3 linked regions of the Rattus norvegicus genome follow. The protein of the gene in region 3 purifies or fractionates together with the protein of the main gene of each other region. This does not show direct contact. Links are inferred from orthologs where the notes say so. Each region holds a gene or a part of one and is shown on either strand. Other genes may lie near its edges.

Region 1 (3,566 bases), on a different chromosome or scaffold from region 3:
TGCTGGGGCAGTTGGTGCATGTTGAGAGCCACGCCCGTGAGGGCAGTACTGGGCGCCTGGTTCCTTAGCTCTTCCCCAACTTTTTCAAAGTCAAGTCTTTGACATTTTCTTCATATACTTTTCATTTTTTATTTAAAGTCCTGCGTTGAAGTGTGGAGTTTCTAGGCAGTTTGTAAGCCTTTTGTCCTGCTGTCCTATAGTGACTTGGGTGCAACAGGGCTAATTTTCTGCTGGGTGTGGATTCTCATTGCTTGGACTTCTGATTGAATGGGAGGGCCTCTTCCACATGTCTATTTACCACACGTCTTTTTTATCTTTTAAGCAGTTTGCCAGGTACCTCTGCAGCACACCTACCTTGGGACCTGAATGTTCCATCCACTGGGGTTCCTGATCTCTAGTGAGCAGGGGATTAGTAAAGAAGGCCTTATGTGGGAGATGAAAAACAAGGCCTTCTAGGGAACCTTGGAGAATCTGATTCTTACAGAGCTGCCAGCTTTCTAGGAACAGGGTGGTGAATGTAATTTTGTATCTTTATTAAAAGCCAAACACTCTTCCTAAGGAGTTTAAGAGATTTTCAAAATAAAGGTGAGGCAAGAGTAGGGCCTCATTATGCAAGGATATAGAACCTTGAGAACCACCTGAGACAGTTCACCCACTGTTGGGTCATAGCAGGAAGCTCTTGAGACACTGAGGGAAGACAGCCCAGGTCAGAACAAAGAAGAGCTAGGGCTTCTTTTCCCTCTTGTTTGAAGACCTTTTTAAAGCTGCCTGGCTTGCATGGACCTTGTGTCCTGAACTGATTCAGGATTCAGTGGTGATAGATGATTAGTAAATAGTCAGGATCAATGTTTCCCCACCATTTTAAACCAAACAACCCTGAAATTCATTTTGAAGTCGAGTAGGAATTTAGTGTCTAGTAAGAACTGCAGGACATCCCCAGCACTTAGAAGGTAGAGGTACGTCACAGGAGATGATCCCTTGTCTCCTTTTGTCTGTGGCCTTCATGGAGATTAGCAGCTGGTTAACCAAAAGAAAAGAAAACATGACCTGAGTTCTTTGTGGTTACAGAAAGTTCCCTCAACTTCAAACTCCAGAGCAGGAGTGGGGAACCCTTGAGCGCTGTCCCTGCCCGTCCGGGTCATCGCATTATTGGGCCTTCACCACATATGATGGATTCTTCCTTTGTTCCCACTGGAAGACCTTATATCGTGCCTGTGAAAATGGCCTAGGTTGTAAGGCACCTAGGGTTCCTAATAAGGAGTCAATACTGAAGAAAAGGCACTGAGCACATTTTACTATGAGGAGACGAGGTCAACCATCCTCCCAATATCCACAGTTGTGGGAAACGCATCTTAATGTCTGTCCTGTCTCCCAGCTTCTTTGGCTACTGTGCCTTTGTGTTTACATGAGTGGGCATGTTAAGTACCTAGGTCCCATTTCCAGCAGAGGGCACTAGACATGCTCACTCTGTACTCATTGGTGCAGTTCTCTAAAGGCTGTCCTCTGCCTTGTCTGCTCACTGAGTGAGGGGCATTAGAGTCAGGCCTGTTAGTTCATGGTAGATACACAAAAGAGGTGTGCTTAGATCTGGGTTTCAATCCGCTGTTTTCAGAGGGGTGAGGCAATGTTCAAGATTTGTCAAATTGCATACATTTTTATTTGGGCTTCTGTTAGATTTATGTGAATATAAACTCCCTACTCTAGATTGCTTGTGTGTATCTTTACCTTGGGCCCATCCATCCCTTTTCCAGATATCTGTTGTATACCTGGAATTTCTACAGATCACTGTCTGAGGACACAGGGGCATTTCTCTCTGTGTGCAGATAGCCTCACAGCAGTGGATTTGCCCTCCCCTTAGCTTGTGAACATTTCCAGTGTTGAATGTCTCCTCTGTCCTCCAGTTCCAGGGTATTGGGTGGCAGCGGTTAACAAGGTCTGCTCGGTGCTTAGCATTTCTTGCCTGCATCTCTCCCCCATGTTCATCCCACAGGCATCAGACTGCAGAGCAGAGACTGCTGCCACCCCTCCTTTCTCTGTACCTCTTTGCTGCTCTTGCTACTGCCCTGGGTTATTAGGAAGTTCACCTTTAAAGCTGACTTTCTTTGTTTACACTCTAAATTTTTTTTTATCTTGTTTTATCTGGAGAATCACTCTTGTCTGACAGCCTCTTTACCCACGTTAAATAGTCCTTTTTAGCACATCTTTTCTGGCTTGTCTGAGGGGAAAACTGATTTGAATTGCAAGACTCTTATTATCTGTAGGAAATGCAGTGATTTTTGTTTAGACTTTTTCACCCTTGGGACTGCCTTGTTGCTGTGATGTGCAGGATGTAGAGGCCCTCTCTTTCCTGCCCACTCGGGCCTGGTCATCTCAGCTGCTCAGGAGGCCTGTGTCTTTGTTTCTCAGAGGCTAGTGCTGATAGAAGTATGACTGAAACCCCCAGTCAGAACCAGAGCAGCTCTGATTCTCTCTCTGCGACTGTAGAAGTGGCTTCCTATTCATGGCACTCACTCCTGTGCCAGCCTGGTTTGAAGTGGTGTCCCGTTTTCCTTGGCTTTACCTTCATTATTTTTGGTTCCTGGTTTCTTGGGAGTTTGAAGAGTGGGGAGTCCTGAGGGCAGGAAAGGGTCAGGTTTGCAACTTTGCTTCAGAAACCACAAGCTAACTTTCTCTTGAACTTTGGAACAATAAAAGCTTGTTTGGTGTTTGTCCAGTGAGTAGCTTTATTCAGGGCTGATGAGAGCCTGCCTGTCTCCTCTTCAGGCAGCTTCTCTCAGTTCCCTAGGGAAGGGCTCTGCTCAGGGCCTGGCTGTTTTCTCATCCACCACTTCAGCTGACTCATTCTTCCACCTGTGATTATGATCTTAAACAGCCAAGATAAAGGGATTGACTTCTGGAGATAGGATGATTGATTGTTAAATTTTTAACCCAGATACCTCGGGTTGTCCTAATTATCTTAGGAAGCTGTAACTGCCCAGCTCACCAAAATTACCACCAGCTGACTGGGGACAGGACCTTAGCATGAGGAAGTGAGCGCCATACCATGGGTCTTAGCCTTGGTACATTCTTGAAGTGTAACTCAAAGTTGGTGTCTTCATTAACCACAAGCTTAAGTTGTCAAGGCTATTTTGTGAGCACAGATCTAATCTTTCTTATCTAGGAAATGGTACACTTGAACATAAATTTGTCACTGAGTTTTAATTGGGCCAATGGGTTTTATTAGAGGGATAAGTTAGTGGACCTATCTTTGCCACCCATTTATCCTGTTGGTTTTTGTTTTTTTTTTTCTTTTACCTCAGAAGCCACCATCATGGGTTCAGGACCCATAGACCCCAAAGAACTTCTCAAGGGCCTAGATAGCTTCCTTACTCGGGATGGAGAAGTGAAGAGTGTGGATGGAATTGCCAAGATCTTCAGGTGAGTCTGTGCCCTCAGGTCTCTTACCGTAGAGGAGAGCACATGCAGTGAGACTGGGTCAGAGAGCAGTGATTTCCGGCCATGTTGGAAGCTGGGGATTTGATCCATAGTCCCAAGCGTCTTCATGGGGTGACACCAAGGGAGCATAG
Region 2 (3,566 bases), on a different chromosome or scaffold from region 3:
TCTTTCACATGGATGCCGGTGCCCGGCCAGGTCCTTGAAAGGGAAAGGCCCATCTGCCTCCTTGCCCCCCCTCCCATCACCATGACAACAGGGTGGAAATAAACTGAGCCCAGAGTGAAGCCCAGAGTTCATCCCGTTCCCAGGGCACGTGTGGCCCCCCTCTTGCAGCCTAAATTTCCATGACTTCATGCTCTTGGCCCTCGTAGCTTCCTTCTCTCTTTCTCCAGATGGTTGAACTTGAAGAAGGGGGTTAATTTTCATGAGGGCCCAGGAGTGGGGACCCTACCCCCTCCCTAGACTCAGTGGTTCCAGTGTCTAGCCAGTGTCATCAGGGATGGGGACCAGCTCTCTGGATATTGTGCTGGCTAGGGTGAGACTTTCCTCTCCCCAAGCTTTCAGTTCTAAGGGTGAGGAAGTGTGTGTGTGTGTGTGTGTGTGTGTGTGTGTGTGGCGGGAGGGGGGAGTAGTGTGGTGTGGGTTGTTTGGAAAAGATGTTCTGAGGGACCTGCGCACAGGAAAATTTGGGAAATATGCCCCTGGACCTCAGCTTTGTCTCTGGGAGGAGGTGCATGTGTGTCTTTTTGTGGTGATAATCTTTTTTTCCTGTGCTATGAATGGAACTCAGGGCTGGGTGATCATTCTTCCACTACCTGTGCTGGGTCGTGTCTGATCAAGGCGCCCTGTCTTTTGGGAGGCCATGTCTGGGCTCTGGGGCTCCTCCATCTCAGGAATATGTTCAGCAATAACATGCAGGGATGGCAGTCCTATTTTTCCAGGTCTACATTTTCATCCTGGCTTCTGGAGCCTCCTCTTGTCTCTATGAATTCTTCATGCTCAGGTGACCCAAACATGGAGTAACTAGGATATTTTAAGCTGCTGGTGGCTGGAGGACCCCTGGGACTTACATTGGAGCCATCTGCATTGCTTTCCACACTCCTCACTGGCCCTGGGTCCCTTTGTAGAAAAGTCTCCGTGTCGGGCCTCTGGCTGGGTGAGATGCGAGCTGATGGGCTTGTTCCCATCCTCAGGCCTGCATAGATGAGAACCTGGAAGTCGTTCGCTTCCTGGTGGAGCAGGGTGCTACTGTGAACCAGGCAGACAACGAGGGCTGGACGCCTCTGCATGTGGCTGCCTCCTGTGGGTACCTGGACATTGCTAGGTGAGGCAAGGGTTGAAGGGAAGGGCTTGGGCTAGGTGTTGGGTCCAGGCCTGGCAGCTCTGACCTTTCCTTTTCCCTAGGTACCTCCTGAGCCATGGGGCCAACATCGCTGCTGTCAACAGTGACGGGGACCTGCCTTTGGACCTGGCTGAGTCAGATGCCATGGAGGGACTGCTGAAAGCAGAGATCACTCGCCGAGGTGGGCCCATGGGATTAAGAGCTTTGGGATTTGGGAGTCTTGGCCCAAAGGTCCTGCCCATTTCCTTGGACTCCGGCTCTCTTTATGCCTCTATTTCTTCCCCAGTAAAATGGGGTTACCAAGGGTCTAGTGAGACACTACCAGACACAAAATAAGAGTACTGGCTGCTATGAATGTGTCTGTCATTTCAGCCCCAAAGAACTGAGAAATGGAGGTATGGTGAGCAAATGCTTGTCCAGGAGTAAGGAGCAAAATGGCTAGATCCTAGACTGGGACATATAGTGGATTCCCTCCTGACCTCCTAAGACCATTGTGTCCTGGTTTTTTTCAGTGGGAACTAGGAGCCCCTTGAATCTCCATGTCTGGCCCTATTCATTTTCCTGGATGAGGTGCTTGTGTTCTTGAGGCTTGAACTCCCGCTCTGCTGGCCTGAAAATCTAGTGCTCAGTGTCTAGGCCAGGTGTGGTGCTGTGTGCCTATAATCCCAGCTTTGGGTGACAGAGGCCGGAGGATCAGGAGTTCAAATTCATGCTCCCTATGTAGTAAGTTCAAAGCCAGCCTGGACTCCATGAGATTGTATCAGCATACAAACAAATCAGTATCCAGAGCCAGCTGGGTGGATCTTAGCTCCCTAATGCAGGGCCTGGAAGGAAAGGAATTGGGAAGCAGGCTAGTTTGGGAATGTTGTGAAGCTTAGCAGGCTCTCTAGGAACATAAGTCGCCAGTGTACCCTAGATTTCAGTTCCACACTGGGGAGTGTCCAGATAGGTAAGAGGGGAGAGAGGACAAATGGATCATGGGAGGATAGTCTTGGCTTCCCTGTTCTTGCATGTTACCACGCAAGGTGGAAAGACATGAGTTTAACATTTTGGCATATTGAATTTCAGGTGGCTGTGAGTCAATTGGGGATGCTTGGTAGCTAGTCAGCACCAAGAGATGGAGGTTAGATTTTAGAAGCCTCCCTGGGTTACAGTGGAGCAGCAGTAACAGTGGTTGAGTCAAGCTCCTCTTCCTTTTCCTGATTTTATTTTGGTAAAACTTCAAACACAGAAAAGTTTCCTCAATACTATGACTACTACCTTAGACCCTTTCCTGGGCTTAATCACAGAATTTGTTGAATTATGTGTTTGGGTCTTTTTTCTCTAAGTATGTCTGTTCCACATGCATGTCTGGTGCCCACCGAGACCATCAATCCTTTTGCAATTGTAGTTACAGATGGTTGTAAACCTCACTGGGTGCTGAGAATTGAACCTGGGTCTTCTGGAAGAGCATCCTGTGCTCTTAACCACTGATCTGTCTCTTTAGTCCTATTTATCTTTGAGACAGGGTCTTGCTATGTAGTCCTAGCTGGTCTGGTACTCAGTATTAGTTCGGACTGACCTTGAATTTGGAGCTTCCTGAGTACTTGCATTATACATGTGTGCCAGCACTCCAGCTGCTGTTTTAAAAGTCTTTTTATTATCATTAATGTGAAAGCTTATGCATTGTGAGGGGCAGAGGATAACTTATGGGAGTGGGCACCCTCTTCTTCCATGATGTGGGTCCTAGGGATGGAACTCAAGGTTGTCAGGCTTGGTGGCAATCACCTTTACCTGCTGAGCAAACTGGCCAGCCTGCCAGTGGTTTTACCACAAAGCAGCATTGAGGCTATAATCAACAAACCTAGCAGTTCACCCATTCAGAGTGCTTGGTTCGTGGTTGTGCTGTGGTCCACGGAGTTGTAGAGTCAATACCACATTCATTTCAAAGTATGGTTAAAGTTACCCTAAAAAAAAAAAAAAACCAAAAAACAAAAACAAAAAAAAAAACCCTGTAGTTTTTAGTCCCTTCCCCATCCCATCTCTAAGGCCTTCTGTCTTTAGGAATGCATCTGACATGGACATTTCACAGAGATGAAATAGCAGTCTAAACAGACATGCTTTACTGTTTTGTCCTGCTTTCCTTCCTTCCATACACATAGGCATCAATACCTTTCTTGTTTTTCCCTTTCCAGCCTCCCTTTCATTCCTCAGCTCTTTGAGACTATGTTGCTGATGTTGTAAACTCTGCCCAGATAATGGAGAGTCCCTCCTTCATCAGGTCCTGCTGCTCTACCCTCTCCAACAAAGAGGTGGGGGCAGCCTGGGGCCTTCACCCTCAGTGCCACAAGGTAGTTCATGCTGTGACCTGAGCTTCTCCCACTGAGAGGCTTTAGTGAAGGTGAGCCCA
Region 3 (4,208 bases):
ACCACTGAGCTAAATCCCCAGCCCCAAAAAGCAATCTTTAATCGGCAGACAATGCTACATCTTTTTAGGTACAAGTTTTAAGTGTATATGCACTGTGAAATGGCCGAACAAACTGAATTCACACACCTATCTCCCAAGGCTGTCATAGTTATCATATTTGTCCTTAGAGCACAGCACAGGGGTTCTCTTCACATTCTTCAATACAATGACCACTAACTGTAGTACCTTGCTATGATAATCGTCTTCTGAAATTTATATTAACTATAATTACGTATCTTTTAATGTTCACTGTCATTTAGGACACACACAATATATATAACCAAGTCATTCTGTTCTGCTAGGCAACTTTTCAGAATAGCACCACTTGAATTTGAGTTAAATTAGAATGCAACATCATTGAAAACTAAGGTAGACCACCCGGCAGAGGAGGTACAAGCCGTAATTCCCAGTACTGGGGGAGGCAGAGTTTGAGGCAGCCTGTTCTACAGAGCAAGTTCCAGGAAAGCTAGAACTACACAAAGAAACCCTGTCTCAAAAAACTTTTTTTAAAGGACTGAAATGACTCACTAGAAAATCCAAGTCTTTGAAAATTATTTGAACAGGTTTAGATTTGGGGAGGGAGGGACTGGAGGTAAACAGTCTTCAACTGGATTAAGGAATAAGGGTGTAACAAAACTACTGATAAATTGTCCGTTCAACACAGGAAGAACAGAAAGGCTAGCAAACGCTGAAAAGTCACTTGTTTATACTGAGCTCCTTGAGTGAGAACTGCCTTATTTTTGATTCCTGGTGCCTGGCAGTGCAATCAATAAACACTTGATCTATTAGAAAAAAGAACAATGCATCTTGACAAGAATTACTAACCACGAAAGTGGGGGGGGGGGTAGTGGGTGGTGGCAACTGATGCTAGAACCAAATATTTAACGATGATATAGCTGAGGTTACTTTTCCCTTTTTCTCTACAACTCTCACTCTATTAGTTACATTAAGTATCTGTAACCATACAGAAGTACATTTGATTTAAGGGCTTCTAGATCGATTTAAAATGCATGCATCTGCTGTAAGGTATTTATGAAAAATTAAAAATATTAGTAAAATCCGATTCAAACAATTTAAATTTTAAATTATATGAAAACAGCGGTGGGCTTAAATTCCCCCTTCTCCGAAGAGTGACAAGATATAAAAATCTAAGATAACTATATTTCCCTAATAGAGTCAGCCATGCACTACAAGCATACTTTTTTTTTTTTTAAACAAATTTCTCACAGACCCAGCAAGATGTTCCTATCAATTAAAGACCACGAAGTCCCGAGTAGTGAGCTCAGCAAGCACCAGGGGGCCTCCCAGGAATAACTTGATACTCAAGGAAAAGGTAAATAAGAAAGAGTTCCTGGTAAAAGTTCTGCCTTTCTCAGCCTTAAGACTGCTGGCAAGCTTTAACATCTGGAGCAAATATAGAGGTTTTCTTTTTTTTTCTTTTTAAACAAAGAATAGATACTTCATACTTTAACTGAAGAAGTCACCCCTCTCCTCGCTCTTTGGTAAAATTCCAAACACAAACACAAAATGCTTCGCTGTAGTAAACACACGCATTCATTAGGAGGCTGACAAAGAGGACTCTTAATCATTCAAAAAGACAATTCATTTTTTACACACTCCCCAAACAATTAGTGACGACGCAAATTTTAGAGTAAAAGGCTTCTTTTGACCAAGGCCCGCCTTTAACTTTGAATAGTATCCCACAACGGACTAATACATGTAACCGCTGGCCTCTCCATCTCTTTTCTCCCTATGTTCCCACCAACACAAAACTGATCTATAAAAGCCTAAGAACCCGGAACTTTAAATGCTGCGAACACTTGTAAAATACCTTTTAAGCCCAAGAGGTTCTTTACAACAGACATTTACTAAGTTTGTGAAGAAATTAAACACGGCTCAAACATGTTTAAAAAAAAAAAAAGTAAGCCCCCCCAAACCAGCACATGTATCCGGGCGATTCATATTTCCAACGGACGTCTTTAACCTGATCCAAGATTTTTTACTATTTTTTGTACGCCAGAGAATAAATGGTAAGCTAGTCATCGTATCCTCTCCTTAATTCTTTCTAGAGCATCCAGTAAAATGCAAACGATCCGAGAGCCTTACTCGGAAGGACTTTTTTTGTAAAATTCACTACCGGAACGACAATCGGGGGCTGCCAAGGGCAACGCACAAAGAGAATTGAGAAATACACATTCCACGGACACACAAAGCCCAGAGGCAGGCATCCTCGCCCCTTCTCTGGAACAGTCAGCAGAGGCAAGCACAGCGGCCAAGCAGAGCACGGCCGCCTCTCCGGAAGGCTGTACCGGTCGATGGGCCTCGGGCCTCAGCCCGGCCTCCCCGCCCGCCCGCCAGCCCGCGCTCTGGGCCTCCTGGGGCACCCGACCCGCCCGCCCTCCTCCGGGAGCTCGGCTCGAGCGGGAAGGGCCCCGCGGCCGGGCTGAGAGGAGACCCGGCGCCGCACTCACCCTCCAGCAGGCGGGTGATGAGGCTGTCCACGTTCAGCTCCCCGTCCGCCATCTTGTAGGCACCAGACTCTCCTCCCCGCAGCGGGAACAAGGGCTTCTCCGCGGCGGCAGCGGCGGCGGCGGTGGTAGCTCGGCGTTCTCACCTACGAGTCACGCGGCGTTTCGACCCCGGCTCCAACTCCCCCCGGGCGCCGGCCCTCCCCCCACCCCCTCCCCGCCGAGCAGCGAGAGCGCGCGCACACGCCGGCGGCACCCACTAGAAATAAATAAATAAACAAGCGGGCCCCCACGAACCGGGCCGCGTCAGACCCCAGCCGCCACCGCCTCCTCCACCTCCTCCTCCTCCTCGGCACCGCCCAGCTCCGCAAGCTCGCGGGCGACGCGGACAGCCCCGCCCTCAGCGTCACTCCCTCCCCTCCGCCCTTGCCCAGCCTTGCCGAGCGGCGCGCGTGCGCGCCACGTCCCCCTCCAGCCTCTCCTGCTCCTCGTCCTCCCCTCCGCGGACGCTAACGCGCAGGTGCGACTCCCTCCCTCTCCAGGGCCACTGCGCCGAATAGTCGCCAGTACGCAGGCGCAGGGCGGAGCCAGCCTTGTTGTACAAAGTGAACGCAGAGCCCGCGTAGGCACGAATGACCTTCCTCTTTCCTGCTCCCTGGGGCCTGGTGGTTCCGCAGAATTAATGATTGCGTTCTTCCCGCCTAGCTTTTCTTTTCTTGGCTTCATTCACTGGTTTTCCAAACAATTGCTCGTATTTCCGCTAGCCCGGAAACGTGGGCTGCAGTTGCCCATGTTGGAAACCTAGGTGTGTTAGAGATAGACTTCTCTGCTGAAAAGATTGACATTGCAGATCAGAGGAACTTCATCGCGTCACCAGTGTGGCTGATTTCGCCAGGCGAGCCTTAGATGAAACAAGACTAAAAGTTGGCCTCAGTCAACAGCAATAAGATTTTACACGCTTCCGGTTTCTCTTTCTGTAGCCCGTTCATCATATCATACATCTCCGAACACTCAGGATACCACTATCTATAGTTCTTTTCTGCTCATTGATTTATTATATTGCTTAATCATCTTATCCTGTGATTTTAAACATTTCTCTCCTGCACTCGGTTCCTAGAGGATAAAAATCACATTTGCTGGGCATGAGACGCCTGTAATCCCTATAATTGGCAGGTGGAAGCAGAAGATCCAGAAGTCCAAGGTCATCTTCAGCTACATAATTGGTGTGTGTGTGTGTGTGTGTGTGTGTGTGTGTGTGTGTGTGTGTGTGTGTGTGTAAAAAGTTCCCATCTCAAGAAACCAACTCAATCTTTGAGTCTGCAGCACCCACCAAGTATTTATCTACTTTATACAAGTCAGGGAGAAATAGAAACTCAGGGACTTGGAAATGTTCGTGGCTCACCTTTCCTTCCAACACCTAATATTGCCATCAAAGGGCAGTAGGAAGAGTAACCACGAAAAAAGATCTAGGCAAAGATTCGAAGAGGTCAGGTCAAAGCCTTTACCTATTCTCAAATCTGTGCTTTTCCAAATCTCAGACTTGACGATGCTGAGTCCCTTGCTCACATACCGCTAATAGCTAACACTTACTGGGATCATGTGTCCTGGCATTATTTTAGATGTAATACACAATATTATCTCATTTAACCCTTACAGCAAGCCCTAGGTGTCAGGGAGCATTATTACATCTGCTAAGTGGAT

Evidence for each region. Proteins that work in one complex are often made in the same cells at the same time.
Region 1: the proteins of Ppp1cb (region 3) and Ppp1r10 purify together in Homo sapiens (affinity purification with mass spectrometry; 5 studies listed by BioGRID and IntAct, with this or other methods). This does not show direct contact. The link is inferred for Rattus norvegicus from reciprocal best matches to the Homo sapiens genes PPP1CB and PPP1R10.
Region 2: the proteins of Ppp1cb (region 3) and Ppp1r12c purify together in Homo sapiens (affinity purification with mass spectrometry; 3 studies listed by BioGRID and IntAct, with this or other methods). This does not show direct contact. The link is inferred for Rattus norvegicus from reciprocal best matches to the Homo sapiens genes PPP1CB and PPP1R12C.

What each region holds. Positions count from the first base shown.
Region 1 is NC_086038.1:2,835,916-2,839,481, reverse strand, and holds part of Ppp1r10 (serine/threonine-protein phosphatase 1 regulatory subunit 10), read left to right. Parts: intron 1-3,299; 5' UTR 3,300-3,310; coding exon 3,311-3,417; intron 3,418-3,566.
Region 2 is NC_086019.1:78,365,865-78,369,430, forward strand, and holds part of Ppp1r12c (protein phosphatase 1 regulatory subunit 12C), read left to right. Parts: intron 1-1,028; coding exon 1,029-1,159; intron 1,160-1,239; coding exon 1,240-1,358; intron 1,359-3,566. UniProt on the Homo sapiens protein: Regulates myosin phosphatase activity.
Region 3 is NC_086024.1:29,710,010-29,714,217, forward strand, and holds the start of Ppp1cb (serine/threonine-protein phosphatase PP1-beta catalytic subunit), read right to left. Parts: upstream 2,827-4,208; 5' UTR 2,563-2,826; coding exon 2,511-2,562; intron 1-2,510. UniProt on the Homo sapiens protein: Protein phosphatase that associates with over 200 regulatory proteins to form highly specific holoenzymes which dephosphorylate hundreds of biological targets.